3 linked regions of the Oryctolagus cuniculus genome follow. The protein of the gene in region 1 binds, or shares a complex with, the protein of each later gene. Links are inferred from orthologs where the notes say so. Each region holds a gene or a part of one and is shown in the gene's direction. Other genes may lie near its edges. The genes, in order: WDR20, USP12 and USP46.

What was found.
Region 2: the proteins of WDR20 (region 1) and USP12 are in contact, whole or in part, in a crystal structure (PDB 5K1C), measured with the Homo sapiens proteins. The link is inferred for Oryctolagus cuniculus from reciprocal best matches to the Homo sapiens genes WDR20 and USP12. Residues at the interface, in NP_653175.2 of Homo sapiens: Asn41, Ser42, Gly44, Ser45, Arg151, Ser170, Lys259, Ser260, Tyr261, Phe262, Gly263, Glu282, Asp283, Asp284, Leu285, His301, Lys304, Ser305, Trp306, Gln374, Asp375, Thr376, Arg516, Met517, His533, Glu534, Arg535; in NP_872294.2 of Homo sapiens: Glu207, Asn209, Thr210, Ser211, Thr213, His214, Arg217, Arg277, Val279, Phe280, Pro281, Leu282, Glu283, Leu284, Arg285, Phe287, Asp297, Met299, Gln342, Glu345, Tyr348, Thr351, Ser352.
Region 3: the proteins of WDR20 (region 1) and USP46 are in contact, whole or in part, in a crystal structure (PDB 6JLQ), measured with the Homo sapiens proteins. The link is inferred for Oryctolagus cuniculus from reciprocal best matches to the Homo sapiens genes WDR20 and USP46. Residues at the interface, in NP_653175.2 of Homo sapiens: Asn41, Ser42, Gly44, Arg151, Lys259, Tyr261, Phe262, Gly263, Glu282, Asp283, Asp284, Leu285, His301, Lys304, Ser305, Trp306, Gln374, Asp375, Thr376, Leu509, Arg516, Met517, His533, Glu534, Arg535; in NP_073743.2 of Homo sapiens: Asn205, Thr206, Ser207, Thr209, His210, Arg213, Arg273, Val275, Phe276, Pro277, Glu279, Leu280, Arg281, Phe283, Asp293, Met295, Gln338, Glu342, Tyr344, Thr347, Ser348.

What each region holds. Positions count from the first base shown.
Region 1 is NC_091451.1:45,449,662-45,453,302, forward strand, and holds part of WDR20 (WD repeat-containing protein 20), read left to right. Parts: intron 1-576; coding exon of another isoform or gene 577-628; intron 629-2,361; coding exon 2,362-2,544; intron 2,545-3,641. UniProt on the Homo sapiens protein: Regulator of deubiquitinating complexes. Activates deubiquitinating activity of complexes containing USP12. Anchors at the base of the ubiquitin-contacting loop of USP12 and remotely modulates the catalytic center of the enzyme.
Region 2 is NC_091440.1:87,335,080-87,338,820, forward strand, and holds the start of USP12 (ubiquitin carboxyl-terminal hydrolase 12), read left to right. Parts: upstream 1-1,270; 5' UTR 1,271-1,716; coding exon 1,717-1,764; exon of another isoform or gene 1,765-3,741. UniProt on the Homo sapiens protein: Deubiquitinating enzyme that plays various roles in the regulation of the immune response and inflammation.
Region 3 is NC_091439.1:110,974,461-110,978,197, forward strand, and holds the start of USP46 (ubiquitin carboxyl-terminal hydrolase 46), read left to right. Parts: upstream 1-936; 5' UTR 937-1,087; coding exon 1,088-1,123; intron 1,124-3,737. UniProt on the Homo sapiens protein: Deubiquitinating enzyme that plays a role in behavior, possibly by regulating GABA action. May act by mediating the deubiquitination of GAD1/GAD67.

The sequences.
Region 1 (3,641 bases):
CCAAATGGCTGCTACAGCCGGCGCGCAGTACCAATCCAAGCCAAGAGCCAGGTGCTTCTCCTGGTCTCCCATGCAGGTGCAGGGCCCAAGCACTTGGGCCATCCTCCGCTGCCCTCCCGGGCCACAGCAGAGAGCTGGACTAGAAGAGGAGCAACCGGGACAGAACCAGTGCCCCGACCGGGACTAGAACCCGGGGTGCCGGCACCACAGGCGGAGGATTAGCCTAGTGAGCTGCGGCGTTGGCCTAATCGTTCATATTTCAAATTGGATTTTTATGCTCTAGCTGCCAGTTGTATCGTATTTTATGTTTTTAGCTCCTTTTTACATGACCTGGTATCTTCTTTGTTCTGAGATGTCTTGCTTATGTTGTTCAGCTAGCCTAGAATCCCCTCTCCCTGCCTTACGCTCAAGGAGGAGCCACTGCCGCGGGCAGCCTGTGCATGGTTCATGGCTCCTCTGCTTCAGCCTTCACCCTGCCCAGGCCCAAAGTCAGGACGCCCCTTTGTTTTGTGTCATACTTTATATTACACTTTTCACGGCTCTTTCATGTATATATTCTCTTATTTCATCCTCCAGACAATCCCATGAGGTTGGTAGAACAGAGATTCTCATCTCCATTTTGACTGAGGTGAGGCTGGGAGAGTGTCCGCATGGCGTGTAACCTCATTCCTGTGCCCTGGGCCAAGTGCTCCGGGCTTGAGTTTGCTCAGAGATGCTTGTAATCTTGAGGTCCTTTCTTCTACTCAGTATGTATATTTGTTTGAAAATCAACTATTAGAACACTTGGCACAATGTCACAGGCCTCTTTGGAAGAAAGAAATCTTCAGAACTTCATGGAGGGGTGGTCATAGAGAACTAGAGGGTGAACCCCACCGTGGCACCCAGGGCAGAGAGGATGTCTTGGCATAATCACTGATGGGAACTGTCTCCACGCGTGGTCTTCACACGCAAGCAGGAGGGGGTGGGTTCCCCTTACTTAACAGTAGCAGCCCAAAATGTTCATTAGTCATGAGGAAGGGAATCTTTCTTGCTCAAAGGAGGGGACATGTTGAAAATAATTTTTATTTTTTAAGTTGCAGAGCCATGTGTTTTTTTATTTTTTATTTACTCATTTTAAAGGATTTATTTATTTGAAAGGCAGAGCAACAGAGAAAGAGACATGGATGGAGGGGAGGGGGCAGAGAGAGAGAGAATCTTCCATCCATTGGTTCACTCTCAAAATGACCACAACAGCTAGAGCTGGGCCAGGCCAAAGCCAGAACCAGGAGCTTCATTCGAGTCTCCCATGTGGGTGGCAGGGGCCCAAGCACTTGAGCCATCACCTGCTCCCCTCAGGGTGTTCATTCGCAGGAAGTGGGGGTCAGGTGTGGAGCCAGGACTCAAACCCAGTACTTCAGTACAGGATGCAGGTATCCCAAACAGCAAGGTAACTGCTGCGCCAAGTGCCCATCCCCCCAGATTATTTTTAACCCAAGTCAGAAATTACTTACTTTTGACTTTGGGGTGTGCGGGTATGTGTTTCTCCCCATTCCCTTTATGGGCAAACAGAACTGGGTTTCAAATGCCAGTTACTAAATAGGTATTGCCGACAGTGGCCAAGTTAACTTCTCCAAATGTATTTGCTCACTGGTAAATTGGGGGAAATACTGTCTGCACTGACAGATTACTGTGAAGATTAAATGTGCGTGCAAAGCACTTGAGTGTAGGCTCAGTAAGTGGAAGTTCCCTGAAAGCTAACACAGAAGAGGGATTGTGGCCCGGAGAGGGAACCGCCTGTGTACGGTTGGCCCAGCAGTGGTCGTCAGACTCACCTGGAAGGCTTTTAAACTGCAGCTTGTTGGGCCCAGCCCGTAGTTTCTGAGACACAGGGTCTGTGGTGCGGCTTGAGAATCTGCTTCCCAAGTCTCCAGGTGGTGCTGCTCTGCTGCTGCTGGTCTGGCGGCCACACTGGAACACTGGGCTGCAGGTAGCTCACCCGTGGGCGTGTAGGTGTCACAGCCGTGTCTGAGAGCGGACCTGTTCCGTGTAGAGTTCCTCTGTTAGGAAAGTGCTTGGAATGCATCCTGAAAATACCGAATGTAGTATCTGAGATTCCCCGACCCCTAAAACCAGAAGTCTTTGTCACAGGAGATAAGCTGTGATTTTTAACAGTTATAAACATAGTATAGCAACATCTAATTGGCTAAGGTATGTGAAAGTGTTTTTGTAATATGTGAGACAAATGTTAAGTCATAACTGAAATTTTTTAAATAACATTGTTTTTAAGATTGAACATCATAATGGAGTATAAAATAGTATAACTTAGATTTCTCCTATGTCAATGTACTGTTTACCGTATGTATTTTTCTCTTTCTCCTCCAGGCTGCTGACTTGAGTAAACCAATAGATAAAAGGATATACAAAGGAACACAGCCTACTTGTCATGACTTCAACCACCTCACAGCCACAGCAGAAAGTGTCTCTCTCCTAGTGGGCTTTTCCGCAGGCCAAGTCCAGCTTATAGACCCAATCAAAAAAGAAACTAGCAAACTATTTAATGAGGAAGTAAGTAGCACCCTGTCTCAGCTGTTAAAGAATCCCTTTAAGAATTTATACATTCTTACCAAGGATAGTGGACCTTGTTTTGTGCTTCAAGCTAAGCCCATGTTTTATTTGCTCGGCTGTCCTGTGTAGTGTTAGCCCCAGTTTCAATGTGGTGGATTAGTAGTGACCTCTGCCTGTTCTCCCTTGGGGTGACTGTTCCATGCATTTTTATGGAGTGTGTGCAGGTATCCATACTGGGGATTTAAAACCCTTCTGTAACAGGTAGAAATGATTATAACTTGATACTCGTAATTTAATTAAAACTATAGAATTCCCAGTGTTCACGTCACCAGAATAATTCCGTGCAGACTAAGAATCTGACAATTTCTATAGGCTGCTGCGGTTGCAGCTGAAGCTTTCTTGTGGTTGTGCACGCGCGGTTCGACAGGCATTTGACTAAGCAGCAGTTCTCTAACTCTGGGAAATATTCGCTGTAAAATCACCTTGGGCATAGTTAGAAATCCTGGCACTTAAAACTGGATCACATGACATAGATTTTGCCAGCTGTAGTATGTGTTAAGGTTTCCAGTTTCTTCGGTTTCATTCTGGAAGGAACCTGAGATAGCCATCAGTTCAGGAACATGTCAGAACTTAAACGCGCCAGACAGAATTTGCCAAAGGGATTAGTATTTGCAACAGTGATTGGAGCGGCTTTTCTCCCCAGCTGTCGCCATCACATATTTGATGTTCCTGCTCCTCTCTCAGTACAACTTCCCTGCGATTGGGAAGGATAAAGCGGGTTTCCTGAATGAGAAGCCCTGGATTCTAGTCTCTCCTGTGACTTCGGCCCTCATATGCATGGGTCGGGTTCTATGAGACCCCGTTCAGAAAGAACAGTGGTTTTGAACTGTTGCATGGCTTTAACGTCATTAAGGTAGAACAGAAGCACATCGTAGAGTCTGGTTTTTAAGAAACAACCTTTTTTGGGGAAGAATATCAAACTTGTCAAACTCAGTTAAGACTGATTTTTGCAGTCATGGTGGTATTTGGTCTCCAGCGTTCATCCAAGGTGCTCCTGTTTGGCACTGACGTTGCGTTTGATGGAGTCTTCTGAACCC
Region 2 (3,741 bases), on another chromosome or scaffold:
GGACCCAAGCAAGGAAATGAGCTGGGGCTGAAGCTCGTCTATTTGGTCAGCACAGTGCTTTTTGTTTGAGCAGATAAGCCATTGCGAGGCTCTGCAGTTAGGAACCATGACATTCATTGGGAATTCAGCTGTCTCCTACATGGCGTCCAGGGGCTGGGAGATGCTGGGAGGGGTAGAGGACTTGCCTCTTGGCTTCCCTCCCTAGGCTTGACATGAATGCACAGAGGTGAAAACACGGCCTTAGCCACTAACCCGGCATCAAGGGCAGGAGGGAGAGTGCCTAGCCTCGCAGAAGGCAGGCACGGGAGAACGAGGCTGGCTACCTTGGCACGCGGCTGCACCCACTCGGCATTTCTTCACTCCCAAGCAAGCTTATAACAGAATCACTATGGAAACAGCATTCACGTAGCAGAAATCCATTCTTCATCCAAACGTAGCTCGCTTTGTTTTGGTGTTCGAAGGCTTTGAATCTATACCTAATTTTAGAGGTCGGCCTGAATTCGGGCCTTTAGCCCTGCTGAAATGCTGGAACCCCAGAAAAGCACCCCGTCACTAGTTCAGCTGTCAAACAATCACATCCAAAGCTACCCGACCCACCTGAAGTCCTTTCTTAAATAAAAGAAAACAAAACTGAGCTGCCAGACACGAAGAGCAGGGTGCATGTACGAATTTTTAGAAAAGTAGCATAAAAAAGGAGCTATCATCCCACTAACTAACCCTGCTTAAGTATGAATCTCTGACATTTTGCTGGGCTCACTTTCCTTGTTCCCGTGACACCATCATCACTGTCGGGCTGAGACCCTCTCCACTTCGCAGCTCAATTTGCCGATCATTAGAAACATTCTAAATTTACAGCGACAGGTTGACAAGCAGGCAGGCAGGTAGGGCTCGCTCCCTTCCCCTCCCCCACTACTTACCCTTCCTTTTAATTCAAACATACTGTGTTTATTGCCTCGCTTTTAAGTAGCTAGCCTTTTTGTAAGCTACAGCGTTTGCACCCAAATTCTGAACAAAGAAACAAACCTAGCGCTTGAGACTAGCCCCGGGATAGCTTCACTGTACAAGAGCAGCTTTTCTCTCTCTCCACACACAATTTTCCGAATCCTGCTCCAGGATTCGCCCAGCGGCAGCCGCCGCGGCTCCACCCGGTTCAGCGCCCGCAGCCCGGGCTCTGCGGCCCTCAGGCTCTAGGACCGCGCGGGACGCGGGCAGGAGGCGCGCCCGCCCTGGGCTCCGCCCCCGGCCGCGCGCCGGGAGGGGCTGGGCCCGAGTCCCCGGGCTCGCGCTCCGGCGCCGGGGCCGCGCGCGGGGCGGTCCGAGCGCGAGCGGGGCGGTGCCGCGGGGCCGCGCAGCTGCCGGGCATTAGGGCCTCGGCGGAGCCCGCTCCCCAGCGCACTGGGCGGGGTGTGCGGCGGCAGGCTTCGCGGGCAGGCGCGGGCCCCGAGGCAGCGGCTGCGCCCTGCGCCGGGGCGGAGCCGGGGGCGGGCGGGCGGCCGGCAGGCGGGGGCTGGGGCCCGAGGCAGGGAGTGCCTGAGCGCCGGCGGCGACGACGGCAGCGGCGGCCCAGCAGGCTCGGTGCGTGGGTCTGCGGCGGCTCGGGGGTCCGCCCGCGGGCTGCGGTGCGAGCGGGCGGCCCGGCTTCCCTCCTCCCCCGCCCGCCGCCGCCGCCGCTGCTGCCGCCGCCGCTGTGATTGGGTAGAAGATGGCGCTGGGCGGATGGAAATCCTAATGACAGTCTCCAAATTCGCCTCCATCTGTACCATGGTAGGTGCGGCGCGGGCGGCCCGGGACTCCTCGGACGGGCGGACGGCCCTGCTCGCCGTCCCTCAGCTCCGCTGGCGGGGGCCTGGCGCGGGGGCGGGCGGCCCGGGCGGGGGCGGTTGGACGGCGCGCGGGCGGGGAGCGCGGGCGATTAGCGGCCCCCGCGGCCGAGGAGGCGCCCCGCGGGCCGGGCTGCGAGGGGCGATCGCCGTGCTGGACGTGGCCAGGGGGCTGGGGGCGGCCACCGGCCTTGGCGAGCCCGGGCCGCCCTGCTCCGGTCTCTGCTGGGCGCAGCCGGCCTGTGGGAGCGCGGCGGCGGGCTGGGGGTCGCAGGGGCAGGGCCGCGGGGCCGCGCCGTCTCCGTTTCCGTGTGGCCGGGCGTCGGCGGCGGGGGCGGGGGTCTGCGGGCAGGAAGGAAGGGTCTCGGCCGGCCGGGCTGGGCAGGCTCGCTGCTGCCCAGGCGAGGACGGAAGTCAAGTGTAGGTTTGCTTCTGGTGGCTGTGGCCAGGCAGAAGTGCGACCCCGTGCCAGGGGCGCCGTGAGTGTGAGTGTAGGTGGAAACTTTAAGTAAGTGGCGTGGCCGTTCTCTGCGTTTTCTGCTCGCCCAGAGGAACCCCGTTTCCAGCGTGTGTCCAGGTGTCAGGCTTGGCCCCGGCATCCACTTTAATCTCGGAAAAGCAGCTTTCCTCTCATTTGCTCACTTTAATCCCCCAGGCGCATCTGTGTGCAGCGGCCAGCGTCCCGTTGCGGGGCTGACTGCAAGGGCGGTGGTATTTGTTTCATTAGGGCCTTTTGAACAGACTTCAAGGGAGAAGTGCGGATGCGCCTTCGGAGTCTCCAGTTAAGCTTTCTGAGTGCATGTAGAACTTGGTGTTTCTGTGCCTGGCCCGAAGGACCACATTTTTCCACATGATGGGGCAACTTCCTTTCATTAGCTCCTTAAGAGCTTATATGTCGGGATCGTAATTTATGAGTCATCGCCCAAAAAAGTTATTCTTTCCTACGTGAGCCTGGTGGTTATGGTACTGAAGACTTGTGAAGTCTTTTGTTCCTGGTCTCACGAGCTCTTTTTCACGCGTCGCAATTCCTAAGAGATCCCGGGGCAGCCTTGCACCTAATGTCTCCCTACTTTGAGCAGTTAGGTCGCAGAGATGCTTGTAAGAGGCAGTTTCTCTCCTGGGTGTTGAGGAATAATTTCAAAATATGGCCGAAATCAGGTGGGCTTAAAATCTACCCTGGACAAGGAAGAAGTCATGTGGAAGAATGAGTCATTGAAGAATCCCTTTCCCCAAACGGGTGTTTGTTCTTTCTCACGATTTACATTTGAGGAACGCATTGGTGAAGGGACTCTATTAAAATGATTTCCAAGGTTGGTGTGAGCTCGTTATTTGTAGACACGCCAGTTATTATCTGTCGATTTCAAAGTGAATGTGATAATTAAGTCTTTGACAGTGATAATTTTGCCAAATGGCTGAGTGTGCACCTCGTGGGGTCATAGTTCATTGTCAAAGGCTAGGGTTTCAGGATTGGGTGATCCTCTTTACTGTTCATTCATGTGCTAAAAACTGTGCTGAGTGCTGGGGATCCCATAGTTTCTGCTTTCATGGTGTTTACCTTCTAGTCGAGGGAGGCAGACACTATTCAAGTCTCTCTGTCTCTGTGTGTGTGTGTGTGTGTGTGTGTATTTGCTGAAGTCACATCAGGAAAACGAGGCACAGAGCTTTGCAAGGTCATACATTATGTCAGTGGCATTCTGATCTGAAGAATGTCAGACTGTGAGGCTCTTTCTAGGGTTTCCACCCAGTACATTAATTGCAGATTGGTGCACTTATTGTTGGCAAAATGTCCATGCCTGGCCAAGTGAGGCTGTTCCAAAGGTGCTATTAAAATTGGGTGTGTCTTTATTCATATTTGAATAAATTCTAATGGCCTCCCAAATAGTACTGAATTTCTGGAAGTAGGTTATAAGTTATTCTTTAA
Region 3 (3,737 bases), on another chromosome or scaffold:
CTTGCCCCCCCCCCGCCCCCAACCTTCAATCCCTACTGGGTCCTAGGGATGTTAGCCTCAGTGGCTCGGAACCTCACCCGCATAACCCCACGTCTTCCGATGAGCTCATCCTTGGTTGGATAAAAGTTGTCCTCCATTATACTAATTTCTCTTCTAATTCCATTTTCCATTTGCATACATTGCTTTCGGAATCTGTCACGCGCTCCACTCACGGGATGGTAGCCCTGTGTGTAGAAGTTGCTCACGTCTGGAGACCACACCTGCCAAGCTGTGCGCTGAGAGCCACAAGTTACGACCCCAGAGGTGGACCGGGTGCGCCGACAGCGCCCACCTCGAAACCTAAGCGCTGGGTCTCCCTGGCAGGGGTGCGTCTTCCTTGAGGAACTGGCAAAGTCCTGTTCTGGCTGCTTCCACCCCTGCACGGTCCCTGCCCCCTGCCCCCTGCCCGGCACCGGACTCCTCCTTGGTACCTGCACCACCTGAGCGCACGCATCCTGGCCCTGCCCGCCCTTCCCGGGCGCAAGGCCCGGCCGTGCTGGCCACGGCTTTCTGACCACTGTCCTGTCCTGACCCCATTTTCCACCCTGGGTCCCCGCCGGTGTCGTGCGACAGGAGAAAGGAAAAGTTGGACGTGGTCACTTTGACCCCACCCCCGGCCCGGCCCCAGCTCGGAACCCCGGGGCTGCGGGGGCGGGAGGGAGACCCGCGACCAGCAGGCGGCCTAGGGCGTCCCCAGCGCCGCGCGCTGCCCGGGCACACAGGCGGGGCCCGCGCTCCGCGAGGCCTGGCCGCGCGCTCCGGCCCGCAGCGAGCGCGCCGGGGGCCCCCCGCGCGAGGCGGGGGAGGCGGCGGCGGGCGGGGCGCGCGGCGGCGGCGCGGACCCACGCGCTCGGGCCGCCCCTCCTCCCGCGCGCGCCCCGCCCCCGCCGCCGCCTCCCGGCCCCCGCCCTCCCGGCCTCCTCTCCCGGCCGAGCTGGAAGCCGGACCCAGGCCGCCGGGCCCGGCCTCGCCGCGCGCGCCCGCCATGGCCCGTGCCGTTCTCCCCTGGTAAAGATGGCGGTGCGCGCTCGCCGCCACCTTTAGACCCATGACTGTCCGCAACATCGCCTCCATCTGTAATATGGTGAGTGCCGCCGCGCCGGGCCACTAAGGGGACCCGAGCCGCGCGCACGCCGGCGCCGGGGCGCGGGCCAGGGCGCGGGGCCCCGCCGGAAGTTCCCGGCCGGGCCGGGCGCGCGGCCGAAGCCACCCCCACCCTGGGACCTGTGAGACCGGGGACCCGGGGCCGCACCGCCGTGCCCCCACCTCGGGTTGCGGTGGAAGCGTCGGGGGCCGGGAGGCAGCGACGCCCCGGGGCAGGGCTGCGGGCGAGGAAGCCCCGCTGTGCCCCCGCGCCGCCCCCTCTGGGTCCGAGTTCAGCCCTTGGGCTTCGCCTGAATCCACTTTGCAGCGGCAGTCGGTGGTGGTCTGCAGAAACCTGCCGTGTGATGGAGCTGTGGAAAAAGTGCGGTTGGGGAAGTGAACTTCAACCTGGCCTGGGAAGGCGCCGCGGTGGTGGGGTCTCATGCCGCGGTTTCCCCGTCTCTGCAGAGGGGGGCGGGGACCTGGACGGGCAGGAGGGCTCCGGGCTGCCCTGCCTGATCCCCCGCGGGCCACCGGCTGCTGGCTGGCGTGCACCCGGCCAGGGGCTCTGCAGTGGGCCCTGACGGGGGTCTGGGGCCGTGGCCTGGTGGGGACTGTAGTTTCTGTTTCTCCCATTGCTTTCTGCAGCAGCAGCTCCCACTGAGTCCCCAGAGCCAGCCCTGCCCGTCTTCCCCTTGTCATAGCCCTGGGGAGCCCGGCTTGGGGTCAGGATGAGTGTGTGTCTGCATGCTCCTGCCCCTTGCCTGGCCTTCCCCGGCTGCAACGCGTGCTCCTGGGGTGCCACTTTGAGGCCGGGACCCCGAGGAGGCTGGGGGTGAGGTGTGCCGGCCGCCCCTCCTCCATCTCGGGCTCTTCTCTGCTTCTGCCCCACATTCTGTTGCAAGAGCCACACCGGCAGAGGAGCACGGAGAAGCCTTGTGTTAGCTCAGGGGCGGCTTCGGCTCTTAGCTCCGTGGGACTTGGCCACACTTGGCCGGGTGAAGGCTGGGGCGTCCCGGAGTGACAGCGGCACAGGTGTTGACATGGGGTGGGCTCCGTGGGGGGCTCCTGTCTCCTCTCCCTTCCTCTCTTTTTCCACGAGGAAGCGGGTTTCCTGCTTTTTGTCGAGTGGCGTGAACGCAGCTTGGTGCCGCTGGAGGAGATGTTTTCTCCTCGCTTCCCCTCGGCTGCTGCCAGTCCTGAAGCCACAGCCGCCGAATGCCTGCCTTCGGGCCTGCCGAGTAGCCAGGCTGGCCCTGAAACCCTGGTGCTGTTGACACCGCTCAGTGTGGAAGCAGCTTGGGGGACGCCGGCCTCCAGCTGCACCGCGGGCTTCTAGCGCACCTGGCTCCCGTGAAACACGCCAGGGAGAGGAGCCGCAGGAGGACAGGACAGGCAGGGGGGTGGCAGGCCCTTGCTGTGTCCGCGAGTGGGACCCCCGTGTGTGCAGCCCTGAAAGCCTGGCGGACCGAGGAGCTGCGCGCAGGCCAGGGGAGTTTTCTGTTCGCACGCCGGTCCTGTGTGTGGGGCGCGTGAGGCAGTTTCCGCTCTCAAGGCCTTGCCACTGCTGCTTCTAACTTAACGCCTCCCGGTCTTGGGGACAAGTTGCTCTTCTTTCCTTATCTTCAGTAAAGGGAGGATACTGGCTCTTACCTCATCCGGACAGTCGTGGCCGGCGCCTCACTGGGGTGCTGGGGCCGCTAGCAGTTGAGGTCAGCACCATCCTTCTCGGACAGGCCTGCGGTGGTTTTGGGCACTGGGGAGATGATGCATGGATACTGACAGCCCACCTGCTGCTTGGTGCAGGCCAGGGGAGGGCGGTGTGTGCAGAGGCTGCTCGGGGACCCCGCCCCTCCCAGCTGGCCTCCCACACATACCTGGAGTGGGCTGGGGATGAGGGGACTGCTGTGTTGCCACCCCATCAGACCTAAATGTTCTTTACACCCTCTTTAGAGGCTTTCCTCAGTGTGAACTGTTTCCAGCGCTGTCTTCTGGCTGGCTCCTCCCAGGGCTCAGCTTCTCTCTGGGGGCTCGAACTGGCCCTGCCCCTCCCAGGTCCACACACTCCCAGCTGTTTGAGTCGTTGTAGTAAGAGCCCGGGGGATTGCATTTTCATTTTTTATTTATTTCTTTTTAAAGCAATTTTTATTTTTTTAAAATATTTATTTGAGAGGCAGAGAGATGGATCTTCCATCCACTAGTTCACTCCCTAGAGGGTTGCAGTGGCCACAGCTGGGCTGATTTGAAGCCGGGACTGGGTCTCCTATATGGGCGCAGGGGTGCAATCAATTGGGCCATCCTCTGCTGCTTTCCCAGGCGATTAGCAGGAAGCTAGATCGGACAGAAGTGGAGCAGCTGGGACTTGAACTGGTGCCCGCATGCTATGCTGGTGCTGCAGGTGGAGGCCTAACCCACTATGCCACAGCGCTGGCCCCTATTTCTTTTTTTTTTTTTCTAAGATTTACTTATTTATTATTAAAAGAGTAAACACAGAGAGAGGGAGGGACAGAGAGAGATTTTTCCACCCTGTGGTTTACTTAAATGGCTGCAAGGCTGGGTACCAGGAACTCCATCTATGTCCCTGATGTGGGTGCAGGGGCCCAAGCACTTCTGTT